3 linked regions of the Astyanax mexicanus genome follow. The protein of the gene in region 1 interacts with the protein of each later gene in a pairwise test. Links are inferred from orthologs where the notes say so. Each region holds a gene or a part of one and is shown on either strand. Other genes may lie near its edges.

Region 1 (7,506 bases):
GGCATATTGATATTGGAATTGTATCATACTGACCGAAATTAGGAAATTGTGACATAAATTTTTTACCACATCATCCAGCCCTGATTACAAGCCTTTAAAAGATCAATGCTGATTCACTGTCAGAGATTTAACATTAACCAATGCCTATTAGTCAATATTAAAACCTATAAAAATATAATTTTTAGGGATCCCTGCTTGTTATCATTGGCTAAACATTGGTCACCTGGCTTGGTGTTGGAGATAAGTCCTGATAATGTTCCATGGCCATATCCCTCAGAGCAAAGAACATTAAATAAATGTAATTTTTTTTATTGCATTACGTTGGATATGTTTTACATTAATCAACATTAAAGAATGTAATACAACAAAAATTAAGGTTTATTCAACATTCTTTGCTCTAAGTGAAATATTCAAGGAGCATTATCTGGACTTATCTCCAACATCAAGCCATTGGATCGATATTTAGCCAATGTTTAGCTAATGTTTACAAGCAGTAATGCCTAAAAGTTGTTAATTTTTTTTAAAAAGGTTTTACACCCTAAAATGTAGCCAAATCCAAGTTAAATCATCTCATTAATCACATTCAGACAACGTTAAAGCTACAGGATACACGTTGAACCTGCTTCCAAAGTCCTCCACACAGCCCAGCTTAACAACAACATGGCTAGCTTAGCTTAGCTTAGCTAACGTTAGGATGCTAGGTTGGCTAGTCCAGCTGGCTAATAATATCTGACAGAAAAGAAGCCTAGCTAGTTAACTTAGCTACATAAATAGCTAAGGAGCAGATCATCGAGTCTAGTGCACTTATAAATGATATAAAACACATGAAATCGACATAAACACGAATAAAATATTACTATTTCAGTCAGTGAGCTAGCTAGCTATTATGCTAACCGCTAAGCTAAGCTAAGAAGCTAACAGGCTAACTCCAGCTTCAGCACAGATCCAACAAGTTTGCTCAAAAAACATTATTCTACACATTATTAAACACAAATAACCCCAAAAATGAGAAGATACAACTTTACACGATATTCATTCACTCATATTTATAAGAAAACTGGCCTAAATTGTTTTAAATTAGTGTAAATCGCCCATTTTCCAAACTATAATCACAATGTTTTGGTAGAAATTAGCTACTCAGAGAAGATAATGAGGAACAAACACACACAGATTTCACAATTCAAAGCACTTATTGTTCATTTTTACTGAGTATTTAGAATAAAGTTGAATTTAATTCTCAATATTCAGTATCTAAAATCAAATTTAGGCCAGTATTCAGCATTATTCAGAACTGTAATGTTGTATAACTGTTGAGTAAAGGCCTGGATGCATGGTATCTGTGATGTTTTTCCAGTGTTTATAACATTACACCTGTTATTAGGATGGTTTAGGATAGTTATAATAACATTTAACATTAACAGTTGCTTGAGTTTTTTACAATGTCTACGTAAAATAAGCTCGAAAGTGTTTATAATCTTAGTTAAGCATTTTATTAATGTTGTAAAGAAGTGATTGTTACAGGTGTATTATATAGTACTATGTTTAATATAGAAAAGATGTAGCTATTTTTCTACAGGTGTTATATTTCCAGCTATGGTGTCCATTTGAATACATATATACAAATGTAACTACCAAATCTTAGGTATACTAAATTAGGAATAATACTTATGATTATAGCATATCGTAGCCTATAACTTATTTGTGCACATTGATTTTACATTGAATCAGTGTTGAGTCAACATAAAATCAATGAGATCGAAATCAAATTTTCCATCGCAAATGCATTGAAACAACATTAATTTCTGATGTCGCATTGATTTTACATTGATTCAAAGTTAAATATGTATAGTACTTCCTATTGCAAGAATACATATGATATACTATCATAGTAATACTTATTGGTATAGTGCTTATTTATATACACATTTTAGCTATAAATGTAACTGCCACAATATTGGAATTATGTATACTACAGGAATAGTGTTATAGTACAGCTCTGAGCATTTATTTGCAGAAAATGAGAGATGTCTAAAATAAGAAAAAAGATGCAGAGCTTTCAGAGCTCAAATAATGCTAAGAAAACAAGTTCATATTCATAAAGTTTTGAGAGTTAAGAAATCAATATTTGGTGGAATAACCCTGTTTTTTAATCACAGTTGTTTTATGCATCTTGGCATCATGTTCTCCTCCACCAGTCTTACACACTGCTTTTGGAAAACTTTATGCTGCTTTACTCCTGGTGCAAAAATTAAAGCAGTTCAGTTTGGTGGTTTGATGGCTTGTGATCATCCATCTTCCTCTTGAGTATATTCCAGAGGTTTTCAATTTGGTAAAATCAAAGAATTTCATAATTTTTAAGTGATTTCTTTCTTTTTTTCCAGAGCTGTATGGTAGTATGGTTATATGGTATGGTTATACTATGTTCATATTGTTGTATCTTCAGCAGACAGCAACATAAACCATTATTAAAGGTTTTAAATGATATATTTATTTAATGTGATTGTGGTTTGTTGGTTAGTAAAGGTATTTAACTAGTTAGTACTGTGCTGTATTCCCAGTGTATATAGTTATTTAGCACAGGATCCTAATGGACCCTTCGTTAATCCTAATGCTTTTTCTCTCATTTCTTACAGTAAACTGCAGATATATCATATTATTCAGTTAGATTATTATTGATTAAAGCCACTGCACGTGTTTTAATCAGGTATAAATGTATTAATATAATAAAATAATAGTAATAAGCAGGTCTGGAGGTACCAGAAGAGATGTCCGCACAGGCTGATCACCGCGTCCCTCGCCGTGTCCAGGCAGATGTTACACTCGAAGGCCGCCCGGTCTCCGTCCCCGTCCCGCTCCCGGTCTCCGTCCCCGGGGTGGTGTCCCTCTCCCCCGCTCCGGGGCTCCGCCGCCGCCGCCATCTCTCCTCCTCCTCCTTCTGCCTGTCTCTTTCTCTAACACACAGACACACACAGACAGACAGACAGCCTGCTGCTCCTGAACACACCTACACCACCCAGCCCGCACTAATAAAAGTCCCCCCGCTTCAGGAGATAGAATAAAAGTCTCCTAAAAGTCTCTCTAGGCCTGTACACACACTTTCCCATTTAGTGTTTTACTTAATACATTTATTTAATTTATATATTTAAAAAAATATAATTTTTTTATGAAACACAAAAACTTTAAGAGTTTAACGGAATACTATAAATGTATTTTTTAAGCAATATGCATTAAATTATAATTTAGTCTGTTGATAGAAAATATGTATACTTCTAAACATAATTATAAATGTTTAAAAATACAAAATATAAAAATTGTACGCAATTAAAAGTGTACTTAAATTCAGTGTTTTTCTTAATTTCTTTTTTTAAATGTATTTTCTACATTGTAGGTGAATTTTGCCACATTCCTAAAATAATAAACTTTTTTTTTTTTTTTTTGCAAACAAAAGCATAAGAGGATGCTAAAAATAACACTAAACGTAGGTTCAAATTATGTAAAGAACACTAAAAGTAAATTTTCTATTTCATAAACTTATGAAATAAACATATGAAAATACATGTTAAATATATTTTCTCTGTATTTCCATAAAATGCACTTTTAGGCAATATGCATTAAATTATATTTAGTGTGTTGATAGAAAATATATGATCTTCTAAACAGTGTGCTTAATGTAACATTACATAGTTAAAATGTATTATTTACAAGTATATTTTTAAGGAAATGTACTTTAAAGTGTGATTGAGACTAAATAAAAGTCTTCTAAATAAAAGTTTTCTTTATTTCTTAATTTAATTTATTTTCTACATTGTAGATTTTTCAGGAAACACAAAAATGTTTGACAGTTTAAGATGATACTTAATATCCCTAAAAGTATGTTCAAATTAGGTAAAACACACTAAAAGTACATTTTCTATTTTATAAACCTCATATGAAAATACGCGTTACATATATTTTCTCTGTATTTAAAAAAATGTATTTTTAAGCAATATGCATGAAATTATACTTTATAATTAATAAAATTCTGTTTTAATACTAAAGTATACGCGATTAAAGGTGTACATAATAAAATAATAAATAATTAAAATGTACTATTTAAAAGTATATTTTAAAGAAATGCACTTTGAAGTATGATTTACTCTAAATAAAAGTCTCATCTAGTTATTTATTTTCTACATTGTAGATTAATTCTTACAGCAAGTAATTTTTTTCATAAACTTCATATGAAAATACACGTCAAATATATTGATTGTCTCTGTATGTCAATTATTTCTTTTAAAGCAATATGCATAAAATTATACTTTATTGTGCAAATAAAAAATATATGAAAGGGACATTACCCAAAGACAAACAAAAAATGTTATTTAAATATATATTTTAATTCATTGTATTACCAGGATTTCTTACATTTTATAAAAAATACAGAAATATACAAAGCAGACAAAAAAGTAAACATTTTAAGCGATCAGTTTGTTTCTCTGGTTTATACTGCATTTGACCAGACTGTAACAGTTACCAAGTAAAGTTGTTGACCCAATGCTCTTAAAATAAAGCTGAAAATCTAATCTCAGATCAAGTAAATGCAAAACAAATATATACACATAAAAACACATCATATAAAAAAACAGTTTCAATAAAAAATAACAATATTCAATATTAAATATTTAATTATTACAGTACACAGTTTAAACTCCGACAACGTGTAGAAAATCTACTGTTTTACATAAGTTTTAATACAAAATACAAAATACAAACGGAGGGTTATTTAGAAATCAACCAAAGAAACACACAAATGTCGTATTTTTGCCAAAAAAATTATGACAACCAGAACATTTTTGCAGGTGATTGTGTCCACTGCAAATTTCTGATTCTTCACTGGTCAAAAGATTCAGCTGTCTCTGCTGAAAATGAAAAAATGTGATAAATATATGTAATATATATAATATATATTTAAAATATAAATATATACATTTATAAAATGTATTTTCTGCATTACTCTCATTTTATTGAGATACCATTTATCCACTACCTGTATTATTAAGTACATAACAAACAATTTTAATATATATATTAATATAGTTAATTACAGTAAATGATAAACTGTTATTAGCAGCTGAAATAGAGTGAAATACTCAACCTTACCCAAGGTCAAAGGAATATCCATTGAAGCAGCCAATTTTCCTGTAATTAAAAATTAAAAATATCTCAAATTAAATTAATTTCTAATTTAGTGAACAGAGTTCTTTAAGACTCTTCATGATCAGGTTATGAACTCACGTCCAGCTGGGCTCAGTCCTGCAGTCAATCTATTCTGACCTTCATCATCCTCACCACAAACATTAGCTGAAAAAAATGTTTAATTTATTAAATAATTTCATTCAATATGAATTCTTTATAATTAAATATATTGTTATCTTATATTAACACATCATTATGTGGAATTAATAATTCTTGCTCTTGAGCTCCCCCTACAGTCAAGATGTGTAATTCGTGCTTTAAGCCACCACTAAAGGATACGCTGTACACATGCATTTCTGGTCAAGATTTTTGCTATTACATTAAAAAATAAATTATATATTTGGAAACAAATAGATAAATGATATTTTAAGCTGTATTAACTGGAGCCTCACAGGGTGTACCGGATTATTCCTTATTAATTGCTTTGGCCCAGGCATTCTTAATCCTGCTAAAATAATATTTTTATAAAATAAAAAGAATATTGATTATTGATGTTAGTAAGTGAAGAAATTTTCAGCACATAATCATGAAATAATCAAAATTACCCAGAGTTAGAGGAATATCCTTAGAAGCAGCAAATCTTCCTGTAATGAATAAATACATATTTAATCATAAATATTTTAAAGATCAGGTTGTACTTAGTTTGTGTTTAGTGAATGTTCTCGTTATGATCTTATAAACTCACGTCTAGCTGGAATCAGTCTGTTCTGACCTTCATAATCACCAGCTAAAAAGAAGAGAATGGAAAAAAAATAAATAAATATATATATATATATTTATAATGACTTATTAGCAAATTAAACAGACGTAAAATGCACAAGAACCAACAAGGAAACACAGAAACACAGAGGCTATATTCACACAGAAGTAGACAGGAAACAGGAAACACCAGGGACAGGTAACAAGGGGGCAGAGCTAGCAATTGGAAGAACTGAAGACAAGGGCGGAGACAAGGAAAAAAAAACAGAGAGCCATGTGCTAAAGAGCACATGGCGAGAAAAACATGGAGACAGAAGGGGAGGACACGGAACAGGACGAGAACATGAGACTAATATTGATTATTGGAGTTACGGAATGTTAAACTGTACAGCAGCTGATAATAATGAGATAATCAATATTACCCAGAGTTAGAGGAATATCCTTAGAAGCAGCAAATCTTCCTGTAATGAATAAATACATATTTAATCATGAATATTTTAAAGATCAGGTTGTACTTAGTTTGTGTTTAGTGAATGTTCTCGTTATGATCTTATAAACTCACGTCTAGCTGGAATCAGTCTGTTCTGACCTTCATAATCACCAGCTAAAAAGAAGAGAATGGAAAAAAAAAAATATATATATATATAATATATATTTATAATGACTTATTAGCAAATTGAACAGACGTCAAATGCACAAGAACCAACAAGGAAACACAGAAACACAGAGGCTATATTCACACAGAAGTAGACAGGAAACAGGAAACACCAGGAACAGGTAACGAGGGGGCGGGGCTGCAAATAGGAGCAGTGAAGACAAGGGCAGAGATGTTGAAATGTTGAACTGAACAGCAGCTGATAATAATACAATAATCAATATTACCCAGAGTTAGAGGAATATCCATAGAAGCAGCAAATCTTCCAGTAATTAATAAAAACATATTTATTAAATATTATTAAGACCAGCAAGAAATATACACATTTTTCTGATCAGAGTGTATTAAACTCACGTCCAGCTGGAGTCAGTCCCTTCTGATCAAAATCATCACCAGCTAAGAATGAGAGAATGAAAAAAAATTATATTATGTATATATATATATATATATATATATATATATATATATATATATATATATATATATATATTTTTTTTTTTTTTTTGTATTAATTAACATTTAATTGAAATTCTTTGCAAAAATACATTTGATCTAATGTTGTTAATGATCAACCATACAGCAGTTAATGATAATGGTATAAACAGTATTACCCAGAGTTAGAGGAATATCCATAGAAGCAGCCAACCTTCCTGTAAATAATAAATACATATTTAATACATTATACATTTAGCGAACAGCAGGATGAAATATCATTATAGTGTCAATCGATAAAAAAATAATCAGAACAGTATTAAATGATTAGTGGGTAGTTAAACATATATAATAAAAACAGCATTTTATATATTTTATTTTTCGCTCTTGTGCTCCCCCTACAGTCAATGTGTGTAAATCACACTTTGAGCCACCACTTAAGGACACACTGTACACATGCATTTCTGGACAAGCTGAGATACAGG
Region 2 (7,732 bases), on another chromosome or scaffold:
GTAAAATAAAATGCTAATTCTTTTTATTTATTAAATAAATAAAAAAATTTAAGGGGCATTTGTATTCATTTCCCTGTACTGTGGCATTAAATGTGGATGTAATTCCTGCTAATTTTTGTCTGTTTGCACAGATGCCACTGGTGTACAGTGGGTGATAAAGTCTTCTATAAAGTATTCTTAATAAACACAGGACAATGTGGATCGAGGACTGTTTAAAAATCCGTCTGGCTCCCACGCTCAGGTCAGGCGTTAGGTGTTCCCAAGCTGTTCTTCTGAGGTAACACAACATACTGCTATCCTATGACTTTTGGCATGTCAGTGTATACAGAAGGCTTGTATTGATAATACACATTAATATACTCCTAAAGAACTCCATACCTGCATTGTGTCAACATTGAAGAAAGACTGATAGTATTCAAACGTCCAGAAGCCCCCACTTTGTTTTTCACCTCCAAGCAACTGCAAGTAAAGAACAAAACAGGTGTTCAGACACAACATTAGTTCCTGTCAGAACAACTATTAAGAAGTATTAAATGTAGTAATTCTTGATTTCTGCAAAGACAAAGGAGAATAGGGCACATACAGAAAAGAGAAAAGATTATTATTATTCTGTAGTTAAATGAATTTGAGTTCAGCAGCCCTCTAAGCAAACACATATATACAAATTTTCACACTAGTTAATACTGGTCACAAGGTTCTATGTAGCAGTTACAGAATTTACATTTGCCTTATTAATGTGCCCTGTACCTGGCTGTAATGCAGCACCTTTAGTAAATAAGTAAACCAGCTCACAGTGAGATAAAGGCAGGTAAAGGGGGAACTAGAGCAGAAAACAGGTTTTATCTTGCCGAAGTTAAATAATAGTTCAGAACAAGGAAGTGACAAACTGTAAACCCCAAACACTGTTGTTCCTCCTTAAAAAGAAAATCCAGTTGAGCCAAAACCGAGATATGCATTGAACAAATTTCTGAACTGTTTCTTAACCTTAGAAAAGGGCTCGCCCAAAGGGCAGAGAGTTTAGAAATTAGGCTTAAAGGGTTAATTTTATCCCCACTTGCCAGGCTACAAATTTCTCAGCTTTGTAACCCCACAATGTGCCGAAAAGACACTGAAAGCACACAGAGATGATTGCAACATTTTCTGGTATGCCTGTTTGTGTTACAGTGCTAAAACAAAGCTATTCTACATGGCTCACTTGAGATGTCTCGGCGATGTAAACCAGCCAATTAGTGAAGGGTTCATCTTTTTTTAAGGGGCACCATAAGCCAAGGCTAAATTGTAAATTGATGAAAGATCCAATTTGAGCATTTTAGCCCTATATTACATTGCACCTTTTGGCATCCTTGGGCAAGACACTTGCAAGGCTTGCCTACTTGTGGAAAATATGTAATAAAAAAAATAATAATAAAAAAAAGAGAGAGTGTCTGCACCATGCTTTCCTGTAAATATGCATTAAGTTGATAAAAGCACCTCTGAGCTCTCCTGCTGATTCTCCTCATCATCTGACAGGTCCAGCTTAACATCCCCTGCAGGTGCAGTAGTGCTGGAGTTGGTGATACTGAGCGTGGAGGCACCGGGGTCAGCGGCCAGTAAATCTGTGGCCTCCTCGAATTCTGCATTGGTTTACAAAAGGTAAAAGAGTGAGGAAGGAGGAGACATGCAAGAACATCTGAACAGTTTACTTACTGAACAGAAGTACCAACCTTGAAATCTCAAATCGTCAGGACTCGCCATGGTAGATCACAGAAATGACTGAAGAAAAAAGAAACATATCACAAGAACACCAACAAGGTCACTATAAATGTTTCGGCATAAAAATCTAAATAATTTTTTAAATGTCAAACTATAAACACATTTATTAGTAAGACCGGTAGAACTACTGCATACAACTTTACTGGAGGCTCACAGACTGCTCAAAACATTTAACTTCTGAACAAATAAAAATGGCAATTATATTGTGAACTACACACAAATAAATATGTGCTGTTAAGTGGTCATCCAAGGCATATTATTGCATAATATATTGTTTTAGTATAATCATAACAGTGTGCACATGCACAATCGTCACATTGTATGTCACATGCAGTGTCATGTAAAGCAAATTAAACCATACAGGAGATGCTAGAACTTCCTTGGTACAAAAAATAAATAACTTAAACATAAAAAATAAAGTAATAAACGCCAATACATTTATTTTTTTTCCAATATTTGATACAGAGAGAACACTGTTAGTATCATAAGATGTTAAATCACTGATTTTAGGAAAAATCGATGTTTAATATCACAACATACAGTACATATCAAAACAATAACATACTGCAGTGTTATATTTTTTCTTATCATACTAAATGTGGTAGTTGTTCAAAATGAATGTGTTCAGCTACCAAATATCAGATGTTAGTTAATTACAGTACATGTTTAGCTTATCTTCTAATTTCTTTATCTAAATATTCTGTTCCAACTTAAAACAGTGTAACTGCTAAAGCACTTAAGGTGGAAAGGGTATATTAGTAGCTCACAGTTGTAACACTAACTAGCTGTTTAATTTGATAAGAAAAGCTACTGCCAAGCTCTGCGTGTTTAAGAACAGCTGAATCAACACACTGCAGACCCCAGTCAGGACCCGCAGCTGCTGCAGGTTTAAGGTGGAACTGACAGAAGGTGAGGAACAGGGGAAGGTAATGAGCTCGTGTCGGGGTGATGAAGCGGTTAGTCGGGTTAGTTGTGAGGCGGTTAGCCTCCTCTTACCAGCGGTCAGTCAGTGCTGCATCAGCTCTCCCACCATTAACGCTGCCTCTGCTCTTCACTAACGGTCACCAGGCTCCTCAGCAGTGACAGCGCTGCTGCCGGGACTCAGACAGCGCTACAGCCGCCGCCTCTGAACCGCCACGACCGGGTTAAAGTCGGGTACAAAACAACTCAGTTAATTCAGTGAAATCTCACGCAGCTGTGGGTTTATCCCGCCGTGCTCCACGTCACCCTCCCAGCGACAGAGTTCCTGCGTGTGTCAAAATAAGGTCACGTGACCGGAGCCAAGCCGGAACCTTAAAAAACAAATAATTAAATACCAAACGCGATTTTATTTTAAATCTAAGCATTTTAACTAGTTATTTAGCAGATTTAATAGTTAAATATTTTTTATAATATTTTTTTTTATATTGACTAAAATATAATAAATCTAATTATTGTACTTTTTTTTTTTACTAAAATAATCTTAAGTCGAATTATTAATAAAGCATGAAAACCACGGAAACGGCACATTGTGTATCTGTGGCAGATTACGACGGGTTTTAAGTTTTTAAAATGTTTTGTTCTGTGTTCAGAATCAGAAATCTGTAAGTTAACTGTTTTTGTAGCAGAGAGCTTATACAGAGGAGAATACCCACTTATTAATCTCTTCTGGATTTGACAGTCCACCAGAGGACGCTCGCGAGTAAATCGTATACATATACGCATATATATTAACACATAACTATATAAAATGTTTCAAGCTTTTAAACTTAATTTATAAGCCTTTTAAATGTGCTTTGACTAAATGTGCTTTGTAAATCCAGTGTTAGCACACCAATCAGTTAGCACACAGTAACAGTAATGCTAGCAAAAAGGAGATACAATCCTTTACACCTATACTTTAAAATCCATATCCCCTGATCGCAAAATTAAAACCTAATTTTTAAAAAAGGAAGAAAAAAACTGACAGAGAAAAATCAGAGTGGAACGTAAAAACCGTTGATATGGTCCCCCTATCGGACCACCAACTCCAAACCACGCCAGAGCTGGTTTAGAGCAAGCCTATCTACTTCCGCTCTCCTCCGTTATCAGAAAATAAGGGATAACCGCTAGAGGGAGCCTGCGAGTGAGCCATAAATAAAGGGAGGGGGGTTGAATGGTTAAAAACTCGGTAAAAACGATCATTAACTACGTGTCCAGGATATTGCTTAAATTTCGTAATTTCGTAATTTGAACAACAGATTTGGTAGCATCACTGCTACAGAAGTGCTGAAGTAACAGCCAGCACATGTTTTAAATGTTTCCAAGTGGACTTTAAAAGTTTGTATTTGGCATTAACATTTGATATGTTGAGGAACTAATCACATTTTTCGGTTTAAAAATTTAGCAAACATTTACAATCTGAACCTATTCATTTAGGACTCGGGAGCGCCCTCTGGTGGTCTGACATAAAGAGGTTTTAAAGTGGTCTACAGGTTCTTTGACCGAGCCTGCGCCATTTCGGCTCAGTGGTTTCGCCAGTGGGCGTGTTGTGTGGGGGGGCCGTGTGGAAACAGAGCCGGCGGTATCGGTTCCGGTTGAGTTGAGAGCACTGAGCCGCTGATCAGCGTGTGTTCGGACTGTCATGGCTGCCTCGTGTGTTTTCAGGAGGCTCTGCTCCACCGCAGCGGAGGCTCAGGGCAAGGGCAGCCGGTGGGAGAGGCTGAAGAGCGGCCGCGTGGGTGAGCGCTTTACCTACCGAGACATACAGATTAAATATACTCTTTATTATTAACCCGATCAGCAGCTGCTGATCTACTGCAGAACTGGAGAGGAGAAGCAGTCTACTGCCCGACAGTAGAATCAGTTAATTAATATATATAATAATAACATAATATAATTCAGTAGAAACTCTGATCCTTAATTTAATTTTATATTAATTATGCCCAAATGGTGAGAATAAACACATGTTTAACACTAACTGTAGGTCAAAACTGAAATATATGTTCTCCTCTTAACACAAACGCTCTTGCATCTCCATTACCAAGGTCTTTTAGGTTATTAGACACATGAAAGACACACTTCTTTCATTCTTTTTTTTACATTGTAAATTTAATATCGAAGATATATGGATAGATTAATAGATATTAACAAATTATTTTACTTGTAAATTTTAAAAGAAGTGGCACCTTACAGCTTATAGCACATTCAAAACCAGGAGAGAGGATCAGTAAGATGTATCAAAAATGCCATCTAATAAAATCAGGCAAAAAGATCCACTTAGTGTCACATCCTGCTCTTACTGAAGAACAATTGCAGAATATGGTATTCTATATCGGGTTTAATTCACTTTACTATCATTCCTGTTTAGTTTAATTCCACTGGGTCGAAAAAAGTCCAAACAATAGAAGACATTGTGTTAGTAGAAAAATACAACAGTAATGTAATGGAATGTAAAAATGAGATGTATGATTTTCAGCTATGGCTGACAGAAAGAAAATAACACATTTAATAATTAAGTTCACACTGAATTCTCAAACCCTCCACATCCACAGAGGGAGCTATTCACACTGCAGACTGTGCTTACATGACCTAACTAGACTAGAGGCAGAGTAGAGCTCCACTAGTGGTAGAGCACACACCAAACTACTACAAAATAAAATAAAAGTAACATTTTTAAAAACATTTAAAGAGCTAATTTATGTTCTTAATTTATTGTGTTCCACATTCATTTTGGGATACGGTGTCATCGTATGTTGCATTTATGTTCATATTGTGCACTGCTGCAGAAACTGCAGATATCTAGTAGAGTTTAGTAAAGGTTTTGCCCTCTACTCTACACTCTACTTTGGTAGGAGTATTAAAAGTAGACATGTTAATTAACCATTAAAAATCAATATTTTTGGTTTTCATATGTTTTGCTATTATAAAATCCTATTCCAGTAAAACCAGTTAAAATGTCCTTTTTGCAGGTGTGTGGTGCCGTAGTCTTTTGGGTGACTACAAGGAGGCCTGCCGGGAGGTGGTTGTTGGAGCACGGGAGCGTCCCTTTAAAGCCTCAGCTTACGCGGTCCTGCTGGGGGGGGCGTATTTCTGTTATCGAACAAATCCAGATGACACGTCCTTCCAGACTGATCTGCTAGAAACCTCCAATAAACTGGCCCTTCTGTCACCATGGATACGAAGCGGGATGTCAGATGGTCACGTGCAGAACCTGGTGAGGCTGCGTAATGAAGGTCGACTGCGCTACCTTAGTCTGGGCGTGGCCTCGGTGACCTACGTGGTGAGCTACGACCCTGAGAGCAGCCTGTACGAGGCTCAGTGCTCGGCTCTGTCTGTGCCCTGGGCAGAGCTGCCCGGGCGCATGCTGGACGTGGGCTTCGCTGGACGCTGGTGGGTACTGCACCAGAAGATGAAGGACTATGACATTAACGAGGAAGAGTTTAAGCATCTCTCTCCGGCTTTGGTGGCCACAGCTCCCCCTTCAGTGCAGGAGACTGAGAGGAATGAGAGACTGCACAGAGATTCGTTGAAGGCGCTGGTGATGGAGGTAGAGGAGGAAACGGCAGATGGTGCAGTGAGTGTACAGAAAGAGGGGGAGATCGTGGCGAAAGGATGAGAGAAAACTGTGTAAGAACAGATGCACCTAAGCGTTGATGTGCTTCACTAAAGGACGTGTGCTGGCATGGACATATGGACTGGAGGCATGTCACATATGATCAGATAAATCTGTGAGCAGCAGCCCGGAAGGGAAAGCGCATTTCTCTGGACATGGACTTCAGTTTATATAGTGTTGTTGGAATTCTGGGACAAAAAATGTCATGTATTGCTATACTGTATGTTAATACTTTAATCTTAAAACTAAAGGTGCTACAAAATTGTTATTCAAGGCTCAGCAAAATATTTTTTTTTTTTTTGACAAAACCTTGGTGAGGTGGTGTGTTGGTAGAGACGTGGGCCTGTTCCTTGCTACTAATTTGTGCATCTCCAGTGAGATTAACCATTTTTTGAAAATATATGAATGTAAAATATAAAGTAAAATGATTTGGTAAAGAACTTTAACCCTGATTTAACACTGGCAGGCCACAGAGCAGGCCACAACGTCATTTCTTATAGGAAGGTTTATGATTTTTTTTGTGTGTGTTTAAGTGTTTTTACCTGAGGGTCCCCAGATTCTGCTCTGTGAACATTTTGTTTCTCCAATATTTCATTCATATTCTGAGCAGAGCGGTTTTGAACATGACGGAGAGGCTCAGCACAGCTGATTCTTCTTTGCCCGTTTATATGATGCATTTTTGCACAAATACAGGGACAATTTGCAGAAAATTAAAGTGTTAATGAAAGTAGCAGATGAGCTTGCTACATTAGCCAGCATGCTAACCAGTCATGTTGATACAGGCCCTGATACACAGCCACACTTGACAGCACAAGCAGTCTTAAACACACTCACAAGAGACAAATTTGAGTGATGCGAGTGACCATAACTTATTCAAACCTAAATCAGCTTCTTTACACTCACATCTCTTGCAGAAATGTACATTAAAATCTTTATAGAACTAAAATGAACTAAATGTTTCTTCTATGGCATCACTTGAACCCTTTTGTAGCACCTTTTATTTTTTAGGAGTGCTGGTGAAATATGAAATGTTTGGCATAGTCTGTGAAGATGAACTGAATCAATAAACATTATTGTTATTTTGTAGTCACTGTCACTTTTGATTATGTAAGGCTGCATTCCATTTGAACTCCCATGTCAGAATTTTCTAGTTCCAAGACGGACTTCCAATTATCAAAATGATAAAAGCTCCACCAACCCTGAGTTAGGAATCCAAGATGGCTGCCCTGTACATCAGTAGAAGTAAAAGCAGTAATATATACTGCTTGTTGTCACTTCTATCTATCTGTCTCATTAAATAAGTTCTATACACAGTACTGCTCAAGTTTTATCTGTAGATCAAATTCCATGTTTAAATCTGCAAAATACTGCATAATGTATTAGGATACAGTGCTAACAACAACCACC
Region 3 (7,812 bases), on another chromosome or scaffold:
CGGAGAGGATGATCACATGATTCACCAAGATATTGCATTACACAGGCAGTGCAAAGACAATTATTAATAATACAATAAGTAAATTGTTATACATAAAGAAATAATATCTAAATAATTAAAGGACAATATTTTACGGACTTACATATCCCCGTTAGTAAAATAACTACAATAACTTCCTCACAATATAAGAAATTACTGTATTTTTTGCACTATAAGGCGCACTTAAAATCCTTTAATTTTCTCAAAAATCGTCAGTGCGCCTTTAAATCCAGTCAGGTTAAAAGGAGCAGTAAAGCCACTCTGCAGAAGTACAATGTTTCACAGGAGTTTCAGTGAAGTTTCTCCAGCACCGAGACTGGAGCAGTATTAGCATTAGCCGCTAACCACGCTAAGCAGTAGCTCTTTCACCATTCAGGGGTCAGTATTCTCAGCCTGTAGCCTGCTGCTAACCCCGGTAAACACTGCTGGAGCAGCATTAGCCTAAGAACTTGCTCATTAAGCGCTAGCTCTTTCGCCGTTCAGAGTTGAGTATATCGGACTGTAGCCTGCGTGTTTACCAGGTTAAAACAAGCTACATGGTACAAACCCCTAGCTAATATCACCCTGGGTAACTGGAACAGTAAGGGTTCCTCATAAACTATTACTATGTCCTGCAAAATCTGTCTAGGACTCAAAAGGTTTAGCTGTAAAGATGCTGTAAAACATGCATTGGAACATAATCCTCCAGACTACGAACCACAATGTAGCGCATGGCAAAAATAATTATGACTAATTAACGAATCGAAACAATAATTGGTAGATTTGTCGCCTACTAAAATAAGCCTCAGTAGCAGCCTTAGTATCATCATCATCACGTTGCTCACTTCTAGTTGTTAGCTATATTAGCCTAGCCTATATTAACTAGCTTGTTAACTTGAGCTGGATTACTGCTATACTAGTAGCTGTTAGTAGTGTTTACCTTTCCTGTACAGATAGCAGAGGATGAGAGGAGAGCTGTAATAAGACAGGGACCACAGTGCTGAGGCCTGAAGGGACAAAAAAAAAAAACATTAACATATAAGTGATAGAAGCACACTGTTAATTTTGGAACATTTTTAATAAACAAATCTGATCTGAAATCATATCAGAATTGAACAGAGGTATCAATTAACCAAGTAAAAACAGTTAATTACCTTACTTAAGTAGAAATGTTGGTTATCTATGCTTTACTGGAGTAATTATTCTTTAGACGACTTTTTACTTCTACTTCTACTCCTCACACAATTATGTGAACTCTTTTACTTCTTACATTTTAAACATACATTCCAAAACACATTCCGAAACATATCCAGGCCTGAAAATTTCTATTTTGAAATTCCATGAGTTTTTCAGCTCTTTCATGACTGTACTAATTAGGGGTGTGCCATATCGTATCGTACGTGATAATATTGCCAAAAAATTTTAAATATCGTCAACGATATTATACCCTGAAATATCATGCCATATCACTTACCCCCAAATTATCGCGTCAGAGTACTACTTTTTTGCCATTTTTAGCAAAAGAAAAATTCACACTGTTCTCATTTCCCATTATATATCTACTAGAGACAGATTATATCTGTCTAGTATAATTTATTTTACTTAAATCCTGGATATATGAAGATATTCAAAGTGCCTTACTAGTATTATGACATTGTTACAAATGTGATTTTTTTTTATTTTTAATATCTCAGTTAGCCATACCATATTGCATGCAATAATACAATTCTAAATATTTTTTCTAATTCAATGTTTTGTCATATCGCCAAAAGTACTGTTATCGTGAAAATACCATGAAATATTGTGATATTAATTTAGAGCCATATCGCCCACCCCTAGTCCCAATATACCAAAAGAAACCAGTATAGTTTGGTTATTACACCATACTGTACTTTAATTTTATGCTTTTGTTTTATTTATTTTTTTTTTTATATAATGTTACATGGCATGTCTACATCTAACACAATGAGATGTACAAGTGGGTCATATATATATATATATATATATATATATATATATATATATATATATATATATATATATATATATATATGGCAGCTTATAGTCTTACTAGATTCTTGTTGTAAACTTAATAAACAGTGTTTTATGCTTCCTTGCTCTAAAACATCCAATTATCAAAAGTCAAAACAATATTATCAAAAGTTAAAAAAAGATTATTAAAAGTCAAAACAAACATTTTGGTTATATTAATTGTATATATCCACAGGGGCTCTCAATCTTTCAAAAAATACAATTAAAGCCATGGAGGGTAAAGCTTTAAGATTTTAAGAGTAAGTAAGAAAGGACTTACCCAACCGAGGATACTGTCTGTGTGTCTTTCCAAAGTTTTCGGCTGATAATCCCAACCCTGTAAAGGTGACAGTGATTTTAATGCACAGAATAAAAACAGCAAAACAGCCACTTTCCCCTATTACTCGAACTATCCGTTCCACCTTAAATGGCACTCTTGTTACATTCTGGCGCCTCAGGATGATAACGCTACAGCAGGAGCATTTAAGGTGGAACGCGAGATTAAAAATAAGACTTGGGAATATGCTGAAAATCTATCTAAAACATAAACTACAGCTATCAGAGAGGTCTCAGATTTCCCTTTTATAATCCTAACTGATAGTTAAGACTCTCAAAACCTAATTTCAGTGATTAATTTGTGTACATTTACAGTTATTCTGACAGACTGACATTAGCTAGTTAGCTAACTACAGTGCTAGCTAAGGTTAGCCTGTCAACTCAAAGCCCTGCACTTCCCTAGCGGCTCTTAACGAGCCCAAACCCCGAGTTTTAGCCCGTTTTGCGGGCTGTTAAGAAGGGGATCAGCTCGTACCCGCCTCCCGGCTCTTCCCTCAGGTCGGGGCTGCTCGAGCGGGCGGTGGATCCGGTGCAGGCTGGGCCCGAACAGGCAGCGGAACCACAACCAGCCGGCCATCCTTCCTCGGTCGACGGCTACGGAAGCCGGAGTGGGTGAACTGAGCTAATTCAAAACATTCAAAACTGTAAATATAAAACTGTGATGTGTACATTAAATTCTATTCAATTCTACAGTTATATATGCTATATATTAATATATATGCACAAATACTGCAGGTGGTAAGAGGCTATACCTTATTAAACTCCTGTTTAAACATCTGTAAAAAATTAACATCTTATTTCTGACAATTTTATATAAGGACAAACAATGTTTTTTAAAAAGTTATTTTAAATGTAAAAAAAAATTAATTAATCCACTACATAAGCAATGTGCAATATTTAAGGTGATAGCTGCATAAATTGTTTTTTAACACATTATAATGCTTATGCATTATAATCTAAGTCTTTCATTATTATTATTAATATTCCCCATTTGAAAAACATGGAAAATTAAGCGTTCAGCAACATTTCAAACTAGTGATCACCTTTTTTGAGCTACAAACACTGCAGTTTGATCATTTATGCTTTTAATGCTTTTAATGTAAAAAAAAATCTAGTACATACACAAATTGCAATATTTGAGGCAATAATAGTTTCATAATTTTGAAAAAAGTCAAACACACACACACACACATTAAGGATGCAGATAAGTGCAGATGCAGATAAGTGGCAGTGCAATAATGCAATGATGCTTATTTGCTTTTAAGAAGCCTTCTCTTTGGAAAAATTCTCATTATTTTAAGATAATTTTTTTAGATGCTTAAAAGTTATTTTAGACATTTTATTATCTTTAAAATAACTTTGAGGTGTTTTCACAATAGTTATCTCTTTTATTCTTCGTATTTCAACTTATTTGTCAAATGTTTGTAGGCAGAAATTAATATATGTGCATGAATCACTATATGTGTGAAATGCATTAGAAAAAAAAAAGAAAATAAAAATAAAAATATATATATATTTGTAAAGTATTTATAAAATACATTTGAAAATTTTTAATTAAAGTAATGCATTTGCGTTATACTTAAAAAAATAATAATAAATATATATATATATTTTTATTATTATTTTTTTATTATTATTATTTTTAAGTATAACGCAAATGCATTACTTTAATTAATTTTTTTCAAATGTATTTTATAAATACTTTACAAATATTTCTTATACAGAATTATTGCCTTTAATAACAAAAACAAAACTGAAGACAAAAAGTTACGCACACAGGTTTGTGTATGACAGCACTGATTTACAGCATTTACTGTATTTCCGTTTGTTTGTTTGTTATTTATAAGGCCCCGAGTGGAACTGCATGATTGACCAAAGTAATGTGACCAGTCCACTGTGGGACATAGATCTATATCAGATGTCTATTACAGATGACATGATGTACAATACAGTTAAAATTCAGAATAATGATTTAAATAGTGCATACACTTATCATCAGAGACATCATTATTTACAGGTTTTTATTTCAACAGATATTACTGCCTGCCAACATTACTTATACATTAATTTGAGTTCATCATCCACTTGAGAAAACTTATCCACAGCACGGGTCGTATCTGGAATGAAAAGACACACATGCACAAAATGAGATAATATAGCAATATTATATAAAAATGTAATATTTTTTTGTGGCTTTCCCTGTTTTTTTCTTTGATTTAAACATTTCACTTTTATGTGACTGAAGATTTTTTTTTTATTTCTTTACACAATTTTGTCCCAGTTGAAAATGTAAAACTCATATACTATGTGGATATACTAAACACAGACTGATCTATTTTTTAAGCGTTTATTTCTTTTATTGTTGATTATGGCTTACAGCCAATGAAAACCCAAAAATCGGTGTCTCAGAAAATATGAATATTATAGAAGACAAACTGATACTTTTGGCAGCGTGCCAACAGCAGTTATATGTAATATAATCCGTTATATGTAATATAATCTGTGTAAATTTATCCCTGAGGGAAACATTTCTGGTAATGTGTCTCCATATGGTTTCCATAGTTACCAGAAGGCTTTAAAGAATTAGTCTGGTAAAAATCAAAAGTAACATGATTGATTGATGTCTGACCCCACATACAGTCGATCAGCAAAGACATGTCTGATGTGTGCTTCGTTTGTTTAGAACAGGATTTGCTAGGTTAACATTGCTAACATATATTGGACTTAGCCTGTCACCTATCTGATCTTGGTAAACACATACCCAAACGAGGAGCCAAACAAATGCAGGATCTTAAATAACACTCAAAACATTAGGCCTTACCCTGGTCCTAATCAATATATTAATAATCTAAACCCTAGAAAAGAATCTACAGGAGGTTCTCTAAATCAAGTGGAACCAAAAAATAATTAAATAACAGTAAAATATATTAATATTGTTAATAACACAAATTACTTCATCAAAAACTCATAAATAGTATTATTATTATTATTAGTCACACTGACATACCAAAAATCAAGGGATAGCAGTGTGCAACTTATTTGTTACATACATCAGGGGATGGCTTGGAAATGCCCACACCAAAGCCTATATTGTATATAAGTCTATACGTTGGATAGAATGCTCATGGCAAGAAAAAATAAATTATTAGAGTGATTGGCTGAGAGACATTCTGTGAGTGAGTGCCATTATCAGCCCTGTAATGGACTGCAACCCAAGCTCTCCATGTATTACCACAGGTCACATACAGGTAAGCCAGCAACGATGCAGCGCATACAAGCCAAACAGCGCAACTACAAACAGAGCAGCAATGGAACTATTTTAACTTGCTTGAGTGTTTATAACCGAAAAGATCGTATTTTCTCGTCCTTTTTAACTCAAAATCTTTCAATAAACAGTAACTATCAATAATATAACTGTGGTATAATCGCTATAATACATTGAAGGTTTGTGCTATGCTGTGTGATATCGGCACTGCTGCGCTGATCTACAACCGCAGCACAGCAGTGCCAATATTACACATCATAGAACTCCGTCTTGTGTATTACTGCTTAAGTATAAAACATATTCTGGTTTTACACTTGTTTAACACTTTTTGTGTATGTAAAAAAAAAAAAAAAAAAAAACCACAAAAAGAAAGAAATACATTAAATAAGAAGATGTGCGACCAAACTTTTACAGGTATTGTATATTATACTCTCAATTCTGCTGTAACATGAGATACTGGTGATGACTGAAATTCAGACCTGAGTCTAGAGCCTACAACTTCCTGAATAAGTCAATACTGAGTCAATGTGCTTTTTGTTCTTTTCTAAGTACACAAAATGTACATGTTGCAATAACTGTTTGAGGTAACTGATGGTACAAGACAGATACAGCAGACAGAGATAAAGCTGAACACAGATGAAGTACTCCTTTAATATAGTGTGGTGATTAATGCACTGGTGGGGGCTGAACCAGTGGTGCTCTTTCTGTGACCTGAACACATCATCTCTCACCTGTCTAATTCCTTATACACGTCCGCCTCTCCGGTGGGCTTCAGGTCCTGAGGGAGGGGGGAGATGAAGGAGGAGGAGGAGAAGAGATAAGATTTATGGTCTGGAGGAGGTTCGGGTCAGCTCATCCTCTAATATTTCTAATGTAAGACTGACAGTAAAAAGTGAACACACACACACACACACACACACCAGATTGTAGAAGCTGCATTATTATCCTCTGACACATACATACAGAAATATGCACAGAAACACGCTCTTTAAAATTTGATAACTCACCATATAAACAGCACCATGTGGGGAAGACTATTGTGGGGAGAGAGAGAGAGAGAGAGAGAGAGGTGGGGGGAGAAACAGTGAATGGTGGTGTCTGGAGGTTGGTGGATGGAGGAGGTATGAATTTAAACCAGATGTTGACTGATATGATAAGTAATAACTGCTCGACTGGCAGACATCCAGTAGTTTTATATAAACCCTATTGTCCTTGCTGGCATGATTATTAGCTGTGAATAGCCAGGTTTCGTATTTCTTACACTCAAAAATTGCAGAAATTTAATTAATTAGTAATTATGCAATTATACTGTATATGCAATTACACTACGTCATTTTTTTTATTAAAGAGAATTTTGGAGAGGCAGAGTCCCTTAAATGCAAAGATGAGCATCTGTGCCTTAAAAAAAATCTATTTTTTTTTTTAAATATGGAGGAACAATTTCAGAAAAACGTTTCTTAAAATCCCAAATTTGTGAAGACTTTGGATATCACATCATCTACAGTAAATACCATCATCACAGCAAGAGCTCAGGAACACTTCCAGAAATCACAGTCTGTAAACACAGTTCACCGGTTGGATCTTGCAGAGAAGAATTTTAAGGACTACATGGCACACCGTATTATAAGGCGCATTTTATGTCACAATAATAAGGAACAAGGGTGTTGCCACGTTAATCTACACAGATTTCTCTCCTGACAACTATTTATTTGGGTGAATAAAGCACTTCCATTTATTTACAGTAAGGTTAGATATGTTCCAATATTTTCAACAGCGCGGTTAGCAGCAGCGCTTAGTGCTAGTAAATTCCACCTGATAGCGCTACACTGAGGAACACCGAGTGTTTTAGTAAGCCAGGGTGCTATCAGTTAGTGGTTTCTCCCACGTAGCTTGTTTAGAAACGCTAATCACGCAGGCTACAGTCCGTTATTCTCACCTCTGAATGGCGAAAGAGATAGCACTGTAGTTAGTGGCTAATGCTAATACTGCTCCAGTCTTGGTGCTGGAGAAACTTCACTGAAACTCCTTTATAAAGCAGTACTTTACAGTACAGTACAACCTGACTGGTAAAAATTATACATTAGGTGCACCAGATTATAAGGCCCACTGTTGATTTTTGGGAACATTAAAGGATTTTAAATGTGCCTTATAGTGAGAAAAAG

The links. The genes of interacting proteins can lie anywhere in the genome.
Region 2: the proteins of E3 ubiquitin-protein ligase RNF5 (region 1) and yipf2 interact in binary tests that used the Homo sapiens proteins (3 or more experiments, as listed by UniProt). The two-hybrid records come from large-scale screens. The link is inferred for Astyanax mexicanus from reciprocal best matches to the Homo sapiens genes RNF5 and YIPF2.
Region 3: the proteins of E3 ubiquitin-protein ligase RNF5 (region 1) and abhd16a interact in binary tests that used the Homo sapiens proteins (3 or more experiments, as listed by UniProt). The link is inferred for Astyanax mexicanus from reciprocal best matches to the Homo sapiens genes RNF5 and ABHD16A.

The regions. Positions count from the first base shown.
Region 1 is NW_026040044.1:3,464,935-3,472,440, reverse strand, and holds the start of E3 ubiquitin-protein ligase RNF5, read right to left. Parts: upstream 3,002-7,506; 5' UTR 2,919-3,001; coding exon 2,758-2,918; intron 1-2,757. Other genes in the region: uncharacterized protein LOC125790051, read right to left, coding at 5,749-5,819, 5,921-5,962, 6,357-6,395, 6,497-6,538, 6,944-6,985, 7,201-7,239. UniProt on the Homo sapiens protein: Membrane-bound E3 ubiquitin-protein ligase that mediates ubiquitination of target proteins. May function together with E2 ubiquitin-conjugating enzymes UBE2D1/UBCH5A and UBE2D2/UBC4.
Region 2 is NC_064426.1:9,771,185-9,778,916, forward strand, and holds the start of yipf2 (protein YIPF2), read right to left. Parts: upstream 3,002-7,732; 5' UTR 2,749-3,001; intron 1,753-2,748; 5' UTR 1,735-1,752; coding exon 1,704-1,734; intron 1,614-1,703; coding exon 1,471-1,613; intron 460-1,470; coding exon 379-459; intron 1-378. Other genes in the region: timm29 (mitochondrial import inner membrane translocase subunit Tim29), read left to right, coding at 4,355-4,451, 5,682-6,328.
Region 3 is NC_064413.1:5,136,975-5,144,786, forward strand, and holds the start of abhd16a (phosphatidylserine lipase ABHD16A), read right to left. Parts: upstream 3,002-7,812; 5' UTR 2,963-3,001; coding exon 2,861-2,962; intron 2,387-2,860; coding exon 2,330-2,386; intron 1,026-2,329; coding exon 959-1,025; intron 1-958. Other genes in the region: g6fl (g6f-like), read right to left, coding at 4,481-4,502, 6,382-6,428, 6,658-6,684. UniProt on the Homo sapiens protein: Phosphatidylserine (PS) lipase that mediates the hydrolysis of phosphatidylserine to generate lysophosphatidylserine (LPS). LPS constitutes a class of signaling lipids that regulates immunological and neurological processes.